Tamandua tetradactyla: one gene and its partner. The protein of the gene in region 1 interacts with the protein of each later gene in a pairwise test. Links are inferred from orthologs where the notes say so. Each region holds a gene or a part of one and is shown on either strand. Other genes may lie near its edges.

Region 1 (9,059 bases):
TGTGCGGAGGCTGTGTCTGTGAGTAACGAGTCTCCTTGCCCCTGCAGATTGGCAGAAGACCGAGGCCCAGAAGCGACGCGAGCAGCTTCTCCTGGACGAGCTGGTAGCCCTGGTGGACAAGCGCGACGCTCTGGTCAGGGATCTGGACGCTCAGGAGAAGCAGTAAGTGGGCGATGGGGTCTGTACCGAGGCCCGGCCACCTGCCGAGGGGCTGATAAGTTTGGGAAAGTTCAGTCCAGTCTCCCGCTGGCCTCGCGCTCCCAATTCCCGCGCGGGCCCGAAATGCGTGGTCTAGGGGGAACGCGCGGGTTAGGGGGAATGCGCTTTGCCCTCAACGCAGGAAAATAATTTTATTTTCTGTTTGACTTCCAGGGCCGAAGAAGAAGACGAGCATTTGGAGCGAACTCTGGAGCAAAACAAAGGCAAGATGGCCAAGAAAGAAGAAAAATGTGTTCTTCAGTAGCGACCGGGCCAGAATCTCGCCCAACATTTTAGAATCCTGGATCCCCAAACCAGAGAAAGTCAGACTCATTGTTGATTTATAGGCTGGATTGTACTTTACCGCCAACACCCCTTTTCCTCTCCTACCTTTCCAGATAATATACAGAACTACAAAATAGATTTATTTGTTTGTTCTTTAAAATCACGTGAAATAGATTTGCACAGACACCTTGTGAGTACTTCATATTGGGGTGTACAAGTTGTTCCAAAAAAAAATATGCTCCCCGTATTCTTTCATTTTTTTCATGGTAGGAAAATTTGAAAAATTTTATTGTGGTTGTTGTTGTTGTTAATAGCATAATGATGGGGGGGGTTCAGAGAGAGGGGTAAGGAAAATGTCATGAATATTTTTTCCAGTCCTGCCATATGTAACATTTACTCTGCTACCTAAATTTTATAGTTAGATCATACTCAATCCACTTATTAAACTGTGTTCTATTTACCATAGGGGTTTTCTGCAGTTGTTTTGCATTTACCATAGGATAACAGAGTTCTTCTCCTCTGCTTTTCATAGAGGATGATCTTTTAACATAGCCTGAAACAAGCCCTGTGATTTGAAGGTGAGGCATGAGGATGGAACTAATTGACATGCATCCTTTTACAAAAGACAGGCTTATCATCTGAGAATGCACCATCTTTTTCTCTGGATAATTATTTATTACATCTAGCTGGGCTCCTCCATTTGTTGGTTGAAGAATGCTGTTAATATTTATTCTGTGTTGATAGAAATCTGTCTTGCCACTGAGTAAATCCCTCCAATTAATATTTTCTTCTCTAACATAGCACTGTCATTTTTTTGTGAAAATGGTTATCTGTTTATTTATTACAATACTGAGTCATATAAATTTTCAATAAAAGCAGAAACTTTCTTACCTTAAACACCGCTGCTGCTTTCTTGCAATGAAAACTTGACACTTTGGCTAAGTGGAATTTGTGTATCCATAAGACTCTACATGTGGAAAAATGGTCCTCTGAAATGCAGGACAGGGCACGGCTGTATTTGGAGCTGAATAAGTTTATAACATCCCAAAGGGGCCCTGCTGACACATGAATGTGAATTGAAGAGCAATTAGTCATATGTTCTTAGCAGTATAAACTATCATCCAGGCAAAGGGTCATCTCTTTTGTTAAAGATTTGAGGAAATTTGTGATTCCACCTCACTGAAAATGATAAAATCTTGATGTATTTTCCACATTATTACTTATTTTCATTGTTAAGTTTTGCACTCTTAAGGAGAACTATGTCTTTGATATCCCACAGTCTGTAAGAACTTAAATGAAAGGAAGGGGGTTATCGTTGGGGAAGGAGGTGGGTGGATAATGTGGGCAGGTGTGTGTGTGATGAGGGAAAGAGAACTTTTAACAAAAAGTTCAGGTTACAGAAAAAAAATTGACGATTTTATGGTAATTTCCATTCAGTCATTCTGCTACAGAAGGGTCCCAAACAAAGCAAGCTCGTTCAACAAGTCTGGAGACTCAGAGGAAACACTTCAATAGAATTTATATTTTAGTCTAGATTTTATAAATACGTATATATTTGTACACACCCATATATACACATATACATACACGTACACACATAAACTCTGTTCGAAAAAGCATGTAGCCGACTCCAGCTGCCTTTCAAAAAGCCAATTAAAACTTGCTACGGTAGAATTTCTTCATGACAAGGATTTTAAGAAAAGTTATTGAAAAGTTATCAGAACCAAGTGAAATCAGGTATTTGCCCTTTTTATTCGAACGGAAGAGCAGAGTGAGCCGCGGCTTTTCCGGGGGTAGCTCTCAGAACTCGGGGAAAGCCAGCAGATGTAGATCGCCCGTCCCGAACAGCCTGGGGCTTGGGCGGCCAGCGTCACCCCCTCGGTTCACGAAGGACTGGGGAAACTTTCCCTCCCGAAGGGCTACTGAGCTGAGAAGTGCAAACCTGTCCTCGCACCGGATTTGCCAGGGCGGTCGGGAATGGCAGCGCCGACCCGCTTCCCGCCCCACCTGCCTCAGTCTTGAGCCTCGCGGAGCTTCCATTTGGCTCCGTGGCGCCTGCACTCCCACCGGCGGCGCTGGAGTGCAGACCCCGGGGACCGGCCGGGTCAGGCCCGAGGCGAGGGCGCCGCGTTCGGGCTTCGCCCGGCTGGCCCAAGAACGCTCTGCCGGGCGTGGGCGCCGGCCCGGGACGCCCAGGGCCGGGGAACTTGAAAGCCCGTACTGCGGGAGGAGAGGCTGACGGCCCGGGAGTCGCTGGGGAGGAGGAGCGTTAGCGGCAGGCTGATTTGAGCACAGCCGGCTGGCCCTTATGGAACTTCTGTCCCTGGCCAGGATCCCTAGGCCCGGAAGCCAAACCCTTCCCCTTGTCCGGTGTCCTCCAGAATCTGGCCGGGCCTCGAGGTTACTTAGCTGCGGGTTCCGGGTCCCGGGTCCCAACTCCCTCTCCCTCTCTACGGCCTGGGGACCTTGAGCTGGGTTCGCTTTTCCTCCCGAAGCGCTGACCTCTTTTCCCCTCCCCGCGCTGCGGCCGTAGCTGAAATAGTCGTGGCTTCTGGCCCAGCGTCTCCCACCTGGACGTTTGCCTAGCGACGATCGCCTCAATCCTCTGCGCCTCGTACAGGAAACTTTCATTTCAGTCTCTCCCTCTCTACTTTCCTCCCTCTCCTCCCTTTTTTCTTCTCTTAATCCCGGGATTTTATGGGCTGAGCATTAAGAAAATTCGCCTGCAATTTGGGATTAGATAAATACTCTCATGGGGGGGGGGGGAATCCCTGCTACTTGATACCTCCCGACTTCCCCCAGACCGGTGGCAGCATCTGGAGCTGTGAGCGCCATACTCCCGCGCGGCGGGCCCTGGGGACCGCGCCGGCACATTCCAGAACGCACCGCTGCCCGATTTAGCTGCGCAGATCCCCGGGCCGGTGCTACGGCTGCAGGCAAAACCGCGCCGAAAGGAGGCAGGAGGCGAAGTTGCGGGGCTAGGGCAAGAACACGCACCCCGGAGCGGGAGGTCCAAACCCAAGCACAGAGCGCACAGGCCCGGGTAGGGCAGGGCTACGGTCGCGGACGCTGCCGGAGCGTACGCCAGGAGTCCCGCACACATCCTCCCACCAAACTTGTCCACCTCCAGCAGGCGTCTTTTCCTGGGCCTGGGGGAGGGGAGTGTATTTTGTTTCTTTCTTTAAACCTCAGCACCATCTCCGTGGCTCCGAAACGCGGGCTACTCTCGACGGGGGCCTTGGGCGAGCCTGAGGTGTGTCCGCCCCGGGGCCAGCGCCGCGCTCTGCGCAGCTTCTTTTCCTTTTACAGCTTTTTCCACCCCACCCCACCCCCCATGTTTTTCCTTTCCTCTCGTTCTTTTATTCTGCTTTCTCTCTCTCTTTCCCTTTTGTGAATGAGCCGCGGTGTCTTTGTTCTGTAGAGAAGCGCCCGTGTCGCTGACTTTTGTGAACCACAGAAGGATCTTGTAAAACCTCCTTTTCTCCTTCGTACTCCCTCACTCCCACCCCTCCTTCCATGCCCCTTTGATTAGATGTTCCCTCATCGTCAAAAAAAAAATGTAATTTCGTTGGTCTGGCGGCCACTTTCTTTGAACATTAGCTCGCTTTCAGCTCCAACTTCAATTAGAAGGAGTTGATTTTGAGAGATCAACAAAAGAACCGACCAAAGCCTTATTAAAGGTCCTAAGAAGATCTCCCGGGCCCTTTGAGAAGCAGTTAAGGAAACAGTGTGCCCTCCATCATATTCTGTTACCGTATTTTATTCGGACTCCAAAGGAAAGTGTCGCTTGGGGGAGGGGGAAACACTTTGATGAGCTGCTGCGGCGGCCCCTTTTCACTCAGCGAGCTCCCCCTTCCTCCTCCTCCTCGCCCAGAGCCCGGTCGGCTTGCGAGGCGGGACCCAGCGGCCCGGGCCGTGCGGGCGCTGGCCACGGCGATGCACCTTGTGGTTCCATGACTTGCCCGCATACCTACTCTCCTTCCTGTTCAAACTTTTCACTACGCCTGTTAGGGGAGGGTGGGTTAGGAAAAAAGGGTAAGAATTCCTCGAAAGGGAGTAAATCCGTGAGTAATAATATAGGAGGAGGTGCCATTTAAAAGAATTACCTTGCTCAGGAGTAGGGGCGAAAGCACTTTTGTGGCGCTTTGAAAAGTCCACTCAGGTGGACGAGTTTGAGAAGTTTGTTCGGCTGGGAAATGGACTTCGCCAATATGAGCAATCCGGTGAAATCGCCTCAAGGAGGCTCACTCCGCGGCACGTGGAAAAGAAATTGAGGGCAGGGGGTCTCATTTTCCAACAGACTGTCCCTGGTAATGGAAACGAGGAGGGAGAGAAATAGACAGTGGGAAAGAGAAAGTTTCCTATCAAAATCTCTCCATTCAGAAGTAAAGTGTGTGTGCGGGGAAAGGAGGGAGGGGAAGTGGAGAGGGGGAACGTTGGACTCGAACGTCTCCGAAAAAGCGTTTAAGATTTTAAAGCACTCTTCGTGGGGACCGGAAACCCCAAGAGACTCCGAGGAGCAGGTAAGTGGGGATGCCTCCCTTGTGGGTGCTCTTCCCGGGCGCGAAAGTACTGAGGTGCGGAGGAGGGATCTGCGCGCCCGGAGCTGCTCTCGCGCTCCGCAGAGTTGCCCGCGCCAGCACAATCCGCCCCCGGGGTCGGTCTGCAGGTGGCTGCGCAGAGGTAGCAGGCGCTGAGGTCCGCGGCGCCGCAAGAGAAGCTGGGGGCCCCGCTCCTCAAGCCCCCGGCCCCAGAGTCCTCGCGGCCACACCCGGTCGCCGAGCCGGGTGGGCTCAAGGGAGAGCTAAGAAACCGGTTCTCCAGCACCTCGCCTCCCTCTGCCACTCCCTTCGGAGCGCCAAGAGGGCGGGAGAGGAGTGGGGGCCCCTGGACAGGCCCCGGGACGGGCGCCCCCTCAATGGCCTGGGCTTGGTCGCTGCTCTCGCCTTCCTCGTCTCGATCTGTTTGGTATTTGCAAACCGAGCCCCAGAGTTAGCGCGCGACCGGGGCGGGGGTGGAGGGAGGGCGGGGGAGGGCGGGGTGCAAGGGGCGGGGGAGGGCGGGGGCGCGCAGAGGTAACCCCCGGCTCGAGCTGCCATTGCCCGGCTCCCTGTCACTCAGCCCGCGCGGGGCCCTGGATTGGCGGCCTAGCCCCGTTACGCACTCGGCTCGCATTCACTTACCCGGGGAGGGCAGTAGAAAGGTGATCAATCTTCATCAAGCTACATTTCCAATCACCTAAACAACCAAGCAAGACAAGCTACTCCGACCAGGTAAATTGCTTGATTTACTTAGTTTGAAAAGTGCCTCTGCAGGACTTCTCCAGGCCCTGCTGTCTCCCTGCTGCCCCGAGAGTGCAGCTGTAAAGGCGAACCTCCTTCCAACTCTATCCCCCGTACCCTCCACCCTCCCCACTCGCGGCTGCTCGGCGCGGTCTTGGGCGAGGCAATGTCCCGGGAGCGTGTAGGGCTTTGCAAACAAAGTGTGCATTAAAGTGAAACCTGGAGGAACACGCACAAAAGCCATTGGGTAAGAAGAAAGAAATGGGAGGAGGGAAGTTGGGGAAAGAAAGAAATCCCGGGGTCCAAGACCAGCCGCCTGGCCCGATGCGTAATTCCTGTGCGGCTCTGTTTTGCAGGTTGGCGGCCGGGCGGGTCTCTGTAAGGGCGTGAAGTGTAGATGGTGAGAGGCCGAAGCGGCAGAGAACAGGTAAGGAGAAAGACGCGGGGTCGCGCGGAACTCCGGGAGCGCATTGATTGCTCTGTTTTCCCCCTCCTCTACGCGGTACCCGCTTCCCCCAGTCCTGGGCAATGGGGCGGGGCCGGGGGAGCGGCCTGGAGCCTCTCTAGGTGTGCGGAGGGCCCCAAAGCGGTGCTACGACGCTCTGCCCCCTCCCCCGCCTCCTCCGAAGTCGCCGAGCCGAAGTTTGGAGGAAGTCTTTGAAAACTCAAGGCAGCAGCCTAGCAGACCCTCCGCGCTTGAATCTGGTTCTCCTTTGGTCCAAGAGTACCGGCTGTTGCCCTCTTCTTCCTCCCCTTCCCGGCGAACAGGGCTCTCTCAGTCCAGGCTGAGGGTCCCGGCGGACCCGGGTGGGGTATGGGGGGAGGTAGTGCGTCTTCAGTTCAAACTTCTCCTGCGGTACTCCCTAACCCAGGTCCCGAGGCCTGCTTTAAGAAAAGTTCCCGCCAAACGGGGTGGAGCGACAAGGCCTCCTGGGCTCCAATCCAACTTACCAGAATCTCTTCCTGACCCCCGAGTATAGCGCCTAGGGTTCGGAGCAGTTAGGGAAGCGCAGCTTTGACCTTCTGGCCGGGATCAGCGCGGGCCACGCCGCTGAGGCCTAGTTCTCGGTCGGGTCCGGGATCGCGGGTTCAGGGAGTAGGGATAGGCAGGCAGCGCACGGCGCTTGCCTCAACCCAGCCTCCCAAATCCCGGAGACCCTTTGGATTCGATCAGCCTTCAGACCTGGCCGGGACCCCATTGTCCCTATACAGGACCCGGCAGAAAGAAAGCGCAGACTGCGCCGCCCAATAGAGGCCCACAGCCCCGGCTGAGGTTCCCCGAACTACGGGCCTCATCTTGGAACTGCCACCTCTACCGTGACCCCTTCTGCCTCCTTTGACCGCCTTTGCTGGGCCTAGGTGGATAACTGCGGTTGAGCTGTGGTGAGATTCCGGCACAGCCTTTCAGTGACTGGGAGCAGAGAGGTTAGCTGTAGGGTTGGCTGCGGACGCTGGGGCTCGGCCCCAGCCACGGAAACCTTGAGGGAGAGCAGGCCCCCGAGTGAGCAACGCGTCCCACAGAGGCCGACGTGCGGCCAGTCCTCGCAGTGCCTTGCTTTGGCCCTCTGGAATCTTTACTTTTTATCTCACTTTCAAAAGCAATTGAAACAAAACGAAACAACCCCTCATAGCTTTGGCAGCCTGAGGCCGGCCAGGGCGCCGAGTGAGTGTTTGGTGGTGCAGCCTGAGATCGGCTCCCGCCGGACTCAAAATTTTAGAACCTTGCACTCCGGACGATTTCGGCCCTGCTGTCGCCCTTAGCCTGACCGGGTTTTTCATCAATTCTCAATCCCCCCTGCCGTCCTGCCAGAGTCTTTGGCCAATTTCAACTCCGAACAGAGGCAACGACATCCAGAAACGTTTTTCAAGGCTATGGTCTCTGGACTTAGGGCCTTGTGGATCAGAATTGATGCCTCTGCCCAGGGCTTCATCTTGCTCCCCCTTTCCAACCAGATCTTTGTCTCGGGCAAGACTTGGGAGCTGGGGTGGCTCTGAATTACGGTTTCCCTGTGTCTCGTATCTTCACAGGCCCGGTCCCCAGACGCAACAGAGTTCAAAGGACTGAGCGGTGGGAGTCCCGCACCGTGCCCGGCCCGCGGCCCCCTGGATCCGTCGGGGCGCCTCCACCCGGCTGTTAGCATGATGTCTTACCTCAAACAACCCCCATATGGCATGAACGGGCTGGGCCTGGCGGGGCCGGCCATGGACCTGCTGCACCCCTCCGTGGGTTATCCGGGTGAGCACCCGCCCTCCCGGGCCCCTGCCCCTGCAAACGTTGGGAACACCCAGGTTACCGGCTCTGAGCGCATGCTTTTATTGCCGAGAAGGCCCAAGAAGCTAGTTACCTAGTTGTTCACAACACAGAACCCACTGCTGGCCGCCTGCCGCAGCAGCGTCGCGGGTGGGTGAGGTGGGTCAGGGCGGCGAGAACTTGTGATGAGCACCTTCCCGGCCCGGCCACAAGAGCAACCTGTCTCCTATTATGCTCTCACTGCCAGGGCAGAGCGCATTTACCCGCGAATTCGTTTCCCACGGGTGGCTATTTTTTTGTGTGTGTGGATTTATTCCTTTTCCCCCAACGTTGAATGAGGAATCTAGACACTTGCTAAGCCCTAACGAAAAGCGCTTGGCCCTAAGGCCGAATTTTCCTAATCAACGCGACGGGCTGGGCTGGGCTGAGGTAGGCGAGTTCTCCTTCCCTAATGAAATTGTGCCCAGGACCAGCGGCCTGCACCAAAACCGCTGAAGGGAAGGCTTGAGCCGAACCCTGGGTTTCTTTTCCGGCTCCTCCTTTACCCCCATTTATTCCCTCAGAATGTGTTTTCCCGGTGGTGTTTCGACACACCTCTCCAACACCAGGCCGGGGCGAGGGGGGGGGGGGGGGCGGCGGGCTGGAGGGGACATGGAGGAAGGGAACTACCCTACCTATTTTAACCTCTCGGACGCAGGGATGCGGGCAGGCCCGGAGCCTTGGGGATGCACACACACACACACTTTTTCCCACCTGTGGCCTCTCAGGCTAGGTGAGTTTCTTTTCTAGGACTGGGAAGTTTCTTTACTAGGAGCTTGGTTTTCCCTTGCCGATGGCCCGGCGCAGGGCCTGCCAGGGGCCTGCCTGCCCGCGTCTTCTTGCCCCGGTCCGCGTGGCCTCTACTGACCCAAGGAGCCCCCCGCGTGTCCCCACAGCCACCCCGCGGAAGCAGCGGCGAGAGCGCACCACTTTCACGCGCTCGCAGCTGGACGTGCTCGAGGCGCTGTTCGCCAAGACTCGCTACCCGGACATCTTCATGCGGG
Region 2 (8,335 bases), on another chromosome or scaffold:
AATTTTAAATTAGAGTGAAAAGGCTAAGGTATCTTTGAAATGAGGTATTTATTTTCACCTCAACTCCAAAAAATATTTTTATGAGTATCACAATTTTGAAAGCAGAATTGTATATATTATAGTTTAAGTAATGATCATAATAAAGTTTAAAACAGAATATATATATATAAATTATCTATGATGTATATCTGTCACAGATATAAAATGTTTTTAAAAAAACTTTTTAACATATAATCATTTGAAAAAGAAAGCCGTTTTGCTCAGTTTCTTTAAGTCTCATATTCTCAAAATGTTTTATTAATTACAGATGTAAGGAGAATGGCAGGCACTTAATGACCTTTGCATGAAAAGCAGGTAGAACATTAGGTTTCACTTACTCATTCTAAAATTATGTAATTGAGTTAATTTTGACAGATTATTTCCTATGGAGACAAGTTAGTTCATATTTAATAATTGTCATCTAACATAAAATGAATGTTGAATCACACTTGAAACAAAACAGAATGTTCTATTGCAAACTGTGACTAAAATAAAACTTTGATCTCTCTCTCTCTCTCTCAGGTCGAGTTTTAGCTCAGGCGAGCGGCAATGGGATTATCCATTTGCTAGATCTTAAATCAGGGCAGATTCACAAATTGTTGGGCCACGAGGGCGAAGCACACACGGTGGTGTTTTCTCCTGACGGGGAGAGTCTGTTTTCCGGAGGCTCTGACGGCACCGTTCGAACGTGGTCTTGATGGCCAGCATATCCCACTGCGGAAGGCATTCCCTTGAAAATGTCTAGCGTAGTCCCAAACCAGTAAGTGGTTGGTTGAATATGTCAGCAGGTAAAATTTACAACTTACGTATTTACATTAAAACAGTCTTGGGTTATATGTTTTTGAGCTCGTACTGTTACCAATTAAAAAAAAACTTTCTGCATATTCATTTGTGTCTGTCTTTTTTCTATCATTTTGATAAGAATTTAGAGAAAGATATTTCCTAAGGGTTTGGTAGAAACAGCTTTACAATGACGCCTAATGACAGACTAGATGAATTACAAGAGCTTGGATTTAATGCTAGAAAACAAACTGCAGGAGAACCCGGCTACTTTTTCTTCTTCTTCTTTTAATTAAATCCTAGCTGCAGAAAGATCTGAAGTTTAATCGTGTAGCACTGGGAAAGTCCTTCTGCAACCAAGTGGTCAAATACAATCGTCGTGCGTTCATTTTTACAGATTCTTTGACAATGATTATGCCATATCTATTAATAATAATCGGAGACTGCAGATGGCTTGAATCTAAACGCAAGCCTCTTCCGGAACTTTCATCTCTGCAGCCCATCCAAGAATGCATTTAGTATAATTGCAGTGATTTTGGGGGGGGGGGGGAGTTGTAATTTGAATGCAAATAGTATCTCACACGTAGCATGCCTTCCCGCTTCCTAATGCACGTCCGTTGTATAGAGAAAGTGCTGCTGCTTAAGAGAACGCTCTTGCCTTGGCTAGAGAAGCAGCTAGGGGATTTCGACCGAGCTGGGTTTAGAAGCCAGTTGTTGGCGCTATCCGTGGTGCTGAGGAATTCCCGGCTGCCGGCAGAATGAGCTCCAAATCAGCAGTCGCAAACTGCTCTCATTGATGCAGAAATCCAGCTAAAGTTGCTCCTTTCCTTCACGTCCACAGTTAACATTTCCTGGTGTTTAAGAGGGGAGTCAAGCAACATATTGTGGATGATGCTGATTGTGTTGCCAGCGGAGCGGACTTTAAGCTACAGTATATTGTTGCTGTTTGTGATCCTGAGAGCCTAGCCAAATCACCTCTACTGCCGTAGCAAACACTGTGTAAGTGAACTCATGTGTGGAGGAGGCGTAATAAACCAGGAAATTTCATAGAAGGATCTGGGAAAATGCTAAAAATAAGTTCAACATGATTCTCCTACTGAGGTCTGGATTTCTGCAGAAACAGCATTGCTTCTTGCTTTGAATTCTGAAGACACGTCCAAAGCTTATTTCTTATGTGTGTCTGCTGTGTTTCTCTCTGGAAGGGCGGGAGACTGCTTCTTGACTGTATTTTGAAATGGGAGGTAGACAGAATGGATTGCCTATAATTCATCCCTGAAAATGTATTCTTTGGGTTATTAAAGAGGAACTGCTTTCCTAAAACATAACTGACCTTTGGGTTCATATTGATCTGTGACCCCCACCACTACCATTAACCTCCAGAGTGATTAGGTAAGTGTATCTTATGGCATAAGTTATGCTTTTTTTTTTTCCAAATAAATAGATGCAGTCATTTTAAATCATATGTAGCAATATAGGGAGGGGGGAAGTATAACTGGGAAGTGAACCTCAGTTTAGCAATGTTTGCTTAGTTATTAAAATCTTCAGATAAACATTTCATTAGATTTCTTTAATGCTTCTTCTCTTAATAAATAATATAATAAATTGCACTATAGCAGCTCAGTTATGAATAGGGTTATTTTTTTTAATTTCCTTGGAACTTTGTTATATTAAAAAAACTCGTTTCACTCATACAGATTTTTAAATGCATTTCATATAATAAATCATGTTTAATGTTTATCTAAAGTGGGTCTACACCATATTTTAATTTTTTAAGTTTGAATTTACCATAACCTGACACATTAATGCCTACCTGTGGCTTGCAAAGAGATCATTTTCTGAGTGTGTCCTTTAGCAGCAGAATGATATGTGTATTTTATGTGGCTTTTCTTGCACATATTGACAAATACTACAAGAATATTATCTGGAAGCCCAGTGGCTTCCTTTTCTTCCAAGATAAACTTTCAAAATACATGAGAAATGTATAAAATACACACTTTAATTTGTAAAATATATTTATCTCTTTTCAGAGGTTTCTGTTTTGTTTGTGGCCTCTGTAGTAATTTAAGAGAAAACAACACACTGTAGTCAAAGGGAGCTTGCAGCTTCTCAAGTAGGATTATAGGTTTGCATATTCTTGTTCTGTCATGACTCATTATTTTTGGCATATTTTAAAAGAAATCCATCTTCTTTATCATCACCTACCCAGAAGGAATTCTGACATCAAGGAGCAGTTTTCTCTGAAAGGAGAGTGTGACTATACTACCTTCCATTTTACTATTACTAGAATTTGCATATCTAGCTTAAAATGCACAATATGATACAATAGTTCATAAAAGTTTCCTAAAGCTATCTTGCTCTTAATTAAAAGTACCATCTGTGTATGCTAGATGGAAAAGAGATGGTTTATCATTGTTCTTGTAATAATCTGAAAATAAACCAATGAATGACATTTATAAATGATCTGAAAATGTCCTATATACAATCTTAGCAATATTGGCATTAAGCCAGTAGCATTTAAATAGATAAATGAACTGTTTGCCAACACTTTTCCTTATCTGTTAACTCCCTACAGGCGGTTTTCCCAGGGCCTAGTGTAACTTGGTCACTCTAAGCATTTAAATAAGAGCCTACTACAAACACTCTATACCAAGCACTAATGTTAAGTGAAGTTTGCAAGAGTTAATGCCACCACATTAATAAGGCATATTTACTTTAAATGGTAACACCTCATTATAGTTTTCAGAAACTTCCATAAGCCCAGATTACGCTGGGATTTCAGAGTGCAAATTGCAGAAATACAAACATTTTTGGCATTTCCAAAGAGAGTTGTGCTTTCAAGACTGTGTAAATGGTATTTATTTAATTGAAGTAATTAATTCAAAAGTATTACATGAATACTGTATTCAAAAATACTGTAAAAGATTCATAGATACATCTTTCCTGCCCACTAGGAGCTTACCTACTGAGTGAAATAAAAATGTGGACAATACAAATAAATTTTTAACTAATCCCTCTCAATATATGGAACTCTATTTTATTATTTATAATTTTAAATTTCATTTCTCTTATTCAATGTGGAATCGTAATGCTGTTCTTATTCTTAACTATGTTTCAAAATCCAGATCCAAATTTAATGAGACAAGTTAGCCCATAGTGAGACTATTGTTCTCCAATTATGGGCATATGGAAGCAGGAAAGCCTTTGTACTAGCTGTGTCCCAAACATAATTTACACTTAACTGTTATTTTTATTCCCTTTCTTTTAGAATTGGAATTCTTCTCGCTATTCTCATGGGTTTTGATACAGAAGATTGTAATATATATACACACACAAATATACACACATATACATCTATATGCATATATATATATCCTATCACTGACTAGTCCAGTTTTAAGATAAATATAGAATGTGAATTCAAATATCAAATATTCTTGGGCTATTTATAAGTTGTCATAACCTTTTCAAGTTCAGTTAAACCATTTATCTCTATTTAGACAAAGCCAGATATTTGAAATTCAGAAGGTAAATTCAAGCTGAAGTTTCATAGATAAAATATACCATCATTTACAAACTTTAATACATGCATGGCCAAGGATCAACTCTCCAAACTGCATAATAAAGTATAGATAATTGCATGCACTTTGTCTCTCAGAGGTCTTAGTATCCTCCAAATTGATCCCAAACAGATTAACTGAACCTAAATTCTCTTTTATATGTCAAACTATTCTTTTTAAATATTTATTTTCAGCCTACCCTCTTGTATTCCCATGGAAGCAGCTGGGTATATTTAATATTAGGAGCGTATCTGGAAGTCTTTGAGGAGGGGATGGCTCTTCATATTCATGAAGCCTGCATACTTTTGTTGATCATCCCGGGACTGGTCACCTCTGCTGCCATCAATCATGAAGATTATCCTGCTGATGAAGGCGACCAGACCTCTAGTAATGACAATCTGATCTTTGATGATTATCGAGGGAAAGGGTGTGTGGATGACAGCGGCTTTGTATACAAGTTGGGAGAACGATTTTTCCCGGGGCATTCCAACTGTCCATGTGTCTGTGCTCTGGATGGACCCGTGTGCGATCAGCCAGAATGCCCTAAAATTCACCCAAAATGTACTAAGGTGGAACACAATGGATGCTGTCCTGAATGCAAAGAAGTGAAAAACTTTTGTGAATATCATGGGAAAAATTACAAAATCTTGGAGGAATTTAAGGTATGACTGACCCTCTATCTTTGTTGAATGCTAACTCTTTCATATCATACGCTTAGATTGCTACGTATAAACTAAAGTTGGAAAAACGGGTTTTAAAAATTTCCCTTTAGTTTAAAGCAATATGATTCCAGTTAGTGTAAGAAACCTTACGGTAAACAAAAAGTGAATTGGTTTGTTGATCACGCTCTGTAAGGTTTTGCAATAACCTTTTCCTTCAGTATGATTTGCAGCAGGCTTAACATCTCTTTATGCATTTCTTCATTGTTATTCCAACACACGTCTTCTGAGGGAAACTTAATTTTTTTGGTAGACTATTAAATCAATTTCTAAATTTTATGAGGATTTTTTTCATGGCTTATTATCCATTTTTGGAACCCTTCCACAATAGTCTCAAATTATTTACTTAGTATGTGAAAACCTAAAGCTACAGAGACATACTTCTGAGCTGTGGTCTTCCTAAGAACATGTAATGGAACTACTTATGTAGAGCATGGCCCCCATTCTGGCCTCTGCTTATTAGAATTTTCACTTTCAGTACCCCCACAGGTATCTGAATTTTTATCTTAGTCCATTGTAAAAGATAGTGAAAAAAAAACCTAATTCTATAATTTCCTCACTACCATGGTATTTCTTAGGCCTTCTTTTTAGAAGGCCTTCTTCTTAGGCCTGTGTCATATTTTCAAGAAAATTGAGGTTCATTTTTATCTCTTCTTGGATACACTTTTCACCAACAGCTAATTCTAATTAGGATGTCCTACAAGGCAGATCTGAACCTTGAGGGCATAAATTAACACATCAAAAAATCTTCCTTGAATGTAATGGCAGTTTGTGCCGTGGGGTGTCTGTCATACTGATGGCTTGATATAAAAGGTTTTCATTTCTTCTAACCACATTCTGTGACAAGGTGCTCAAAACCTGATAGGTCAAACAAGATATAGATCTTAGTTGTGTGATTGTTTATATTTGAGAAGATGACTCAGTTAGAAGAATGCACTGGCCTAACTTCCTTTTCTGCAAGGATCAAATGGTTCCAAAGGCAAAGAGGTGGAAAAGGGAGCTTAGCTAATCATGATCAGAGTGGAATGAGTCTATGTGCTGACATTTCATCACATTCAATTCATTCCAGATTGTGAGTTCGAACAACTTCTAAGTTATCCAAAAATACCCAATTGGTTTAACTAGATTCCCTAGGTTAAGAGGGGTAATTCAAACAATAATTAGTACATTCAACCTTCTTATAGATGTTTACCTAGATTTTTCTTTCATGTTTTATGTTATTATTTTGATGTAGCATATTAAGAAGTAAGAAGCTTCAGGGTCTAGTAAAATTATAATTATTGACATCAAATGATAAGAGCATAGTACATTTATTAATTGTCTTATGTCCTCTGAATTATTGTATACACTTTGACATTAACTATTTTTACTTTTAGGTAAGTGGGAGTAAATGCAAGTATTCAGCACATGATTTGATTCTAGAAATGGTTCTACAATCATGTCACTCTCTTCTAACATGCATATATCTCTAGAGGAGAATGCAAAAAGGTCTGGTAGGAACAATATTTCATGGCTAGGCCAAACAAAAAAAAGAAGCCCAGCAGATAAAATTTCTGAGACCTATATACTTTGGTAATCAGTATTTAATAAAGAAGAGATTGGCTGATTGTTTTAACTTAGTCAATTCCCTATTAAAATGCTATAAATTGCAGAGGTAATTACTATTTTTAGCATCTCAAATACTACAGAGATATATAAATCTACCCCTTTAATTACATTTCCCGGCTGTAATTAAATATACTACCCATTAATATGCACAGCATTTTCTCCTGACTCTATGTGCAAGGAGATTTTTAAATGGGAACTGAAAAAGAAGAAAATAGATATCACTTTTCACAAGGATTTAAAGAGTCATAAAAAAGCTTTAGAGATTATCCAGGGCAAATTCCTCATTAAGATAACAAAATAAGGCATGAAAGTTTAAGTTACTTGTCCAAAATTGTCAAGTTATTTTTAACCTATTTCTAAGTATTGCCATTCTAACAATAGTCTATACAATCTCTTTAAGTAATTTGGCTCTAGAGTCAGTTGACCTGGATTCAAATCTGAATCCATCACTTAGTTATGTGGCTTTCTCAAGGAATTCTTTAACTTTTTGAGCCTCAGTGCTATTGGCTATATAATGGTCATAATAATAATACCTCTCTGTGAGGAAATGTTGAAAAGATTGAATGACATGACTTATGAAAAGATACTAGCTTTGTGATGACTGCTACAAAAAACGTGTTGACTAAATGGCTGTTGCATTCCCTCAAAATTGTTTTCCTGGGAGTTACTTCAAATTCTAAATTTCTCTGTGTTTTTACCCACATCTTATAATGAAAGCTCAACTTTAAAAGTCATTCAATTGAGGGCTGTGCACTGGCGGCTCAGTGGCAGAATTCTGTCTTGCTGTGCCAGGGACCCTGGTTTGATTCCCAGAGCCTGCCCATGGGTCAAAAAAAAAAAGTCATTCAATTGAAAGAATCCCAATACCTTTAAAAAGTTCTAATTATCTTATGAACATATCCCTAAATAAATGTTAGCCATAAACTGCCACCTTGGTTTTCCCCCAATGTAGCTTCCAAGAGACAGAAAATTAGCTTTTGAATAATATAAAATATATATTATATTTTCATATAATAATCTTGGCCAGTCATTAAGAAGGTTGTATTATGAGATATTCTTTGCATGTAACATATTCAACAAACATTTATTGGGCTCTTTAGTAAACAAGAGAGTAAATGTACTTATATTAGAAAGTAAAATATCTAAGTGGCAAAGTCTCCACTCACAAGGAAGGAATAATCAATGTACAGGAGGAAGAAAAAAGGCCTAACATTAAGTATATGGTTATGAAGTTTCAAAATGAATTCCAAAGGATTAGGAAGTCAGAAGCTTATCAACAGGGTGTGAAGCTTGGTCAAGCAAGACTCCCTTCTTCCTTCAGTGTATTCAAAGTTGCCTGTTCTTAAAGATGTATTTAAAGTTGATCTGGGGAGGTAAAAATTTCAAAGAGGAAACCACTTGAGCAAAATCAGAGATTGGGATGAATAAAATCTGCAAAGAGAAGAAGGAGGTGGGAATAACAGGAAGCTGATGCTAACTAAAAGGCTATTGTAGTAAGGGGGAGGTAAATGGAGATGTATTATTGGATGGTAGATGGCAAAGACTTGAATACTGGACTGAAATATTTAGTTTCAGTCTGAAGAATAGCAAGGAATAAAATATAGGGGGTTGTACACGACTTAAGTAAATGTG

Evidence for each region.
Region 2: the proteins of OTX1 (region 1) and VWC2L interact in binary tests that used the Homo sapiens proteins (3 or more experiments, as listed by UniProt). The two-hybrid records come from large-scale screens. The link is inferred for Tamandua tetradactyla from reciprocal best matches to the Homo sapiens genes OTX1 and VWC2L.

Annotation. Positions count from the first base shown.
Region 1 is NC_135343.1:35,957,593-35,966,651, forward strand, and holds the start of OTX1 (homeobox protein OTX1), read left to right. Parts: upstream 1-5,668; 5' UTR 5,669-5,756; intron 5,757-6,121; 5' UTR 6,122-6,162; coding exon 6,163-6,192; intron 6,193-7,793; coding exon 7,794-8,001; intron 8,002-8,951; coding exon 8,952-9,059. Other genes in the region: EHBP1 (EH domain-binding protein 1), read left to right, coding at 48-162, 373-463. UniProt on the Homo sapiens protein: Probably plays a role in the development of the brain and the sense organs. Can bind to the BCD target sequence (BTS): 5'-TCTAATCCC-3'.
Region 2 is NC_135329.1:189,732,146-189,740,480, forward strand, and holds the start of VWC2L (von Willebrand factor C domain-containing protein 2-like), read left to right. Parts: upstream 1-4,648; coding exon 4,649-5,038; intron 5,039-8,335. Other genes in the region: SPAG16 (sperm-associated antigen 16 protein), read left to right, coding at 562-737.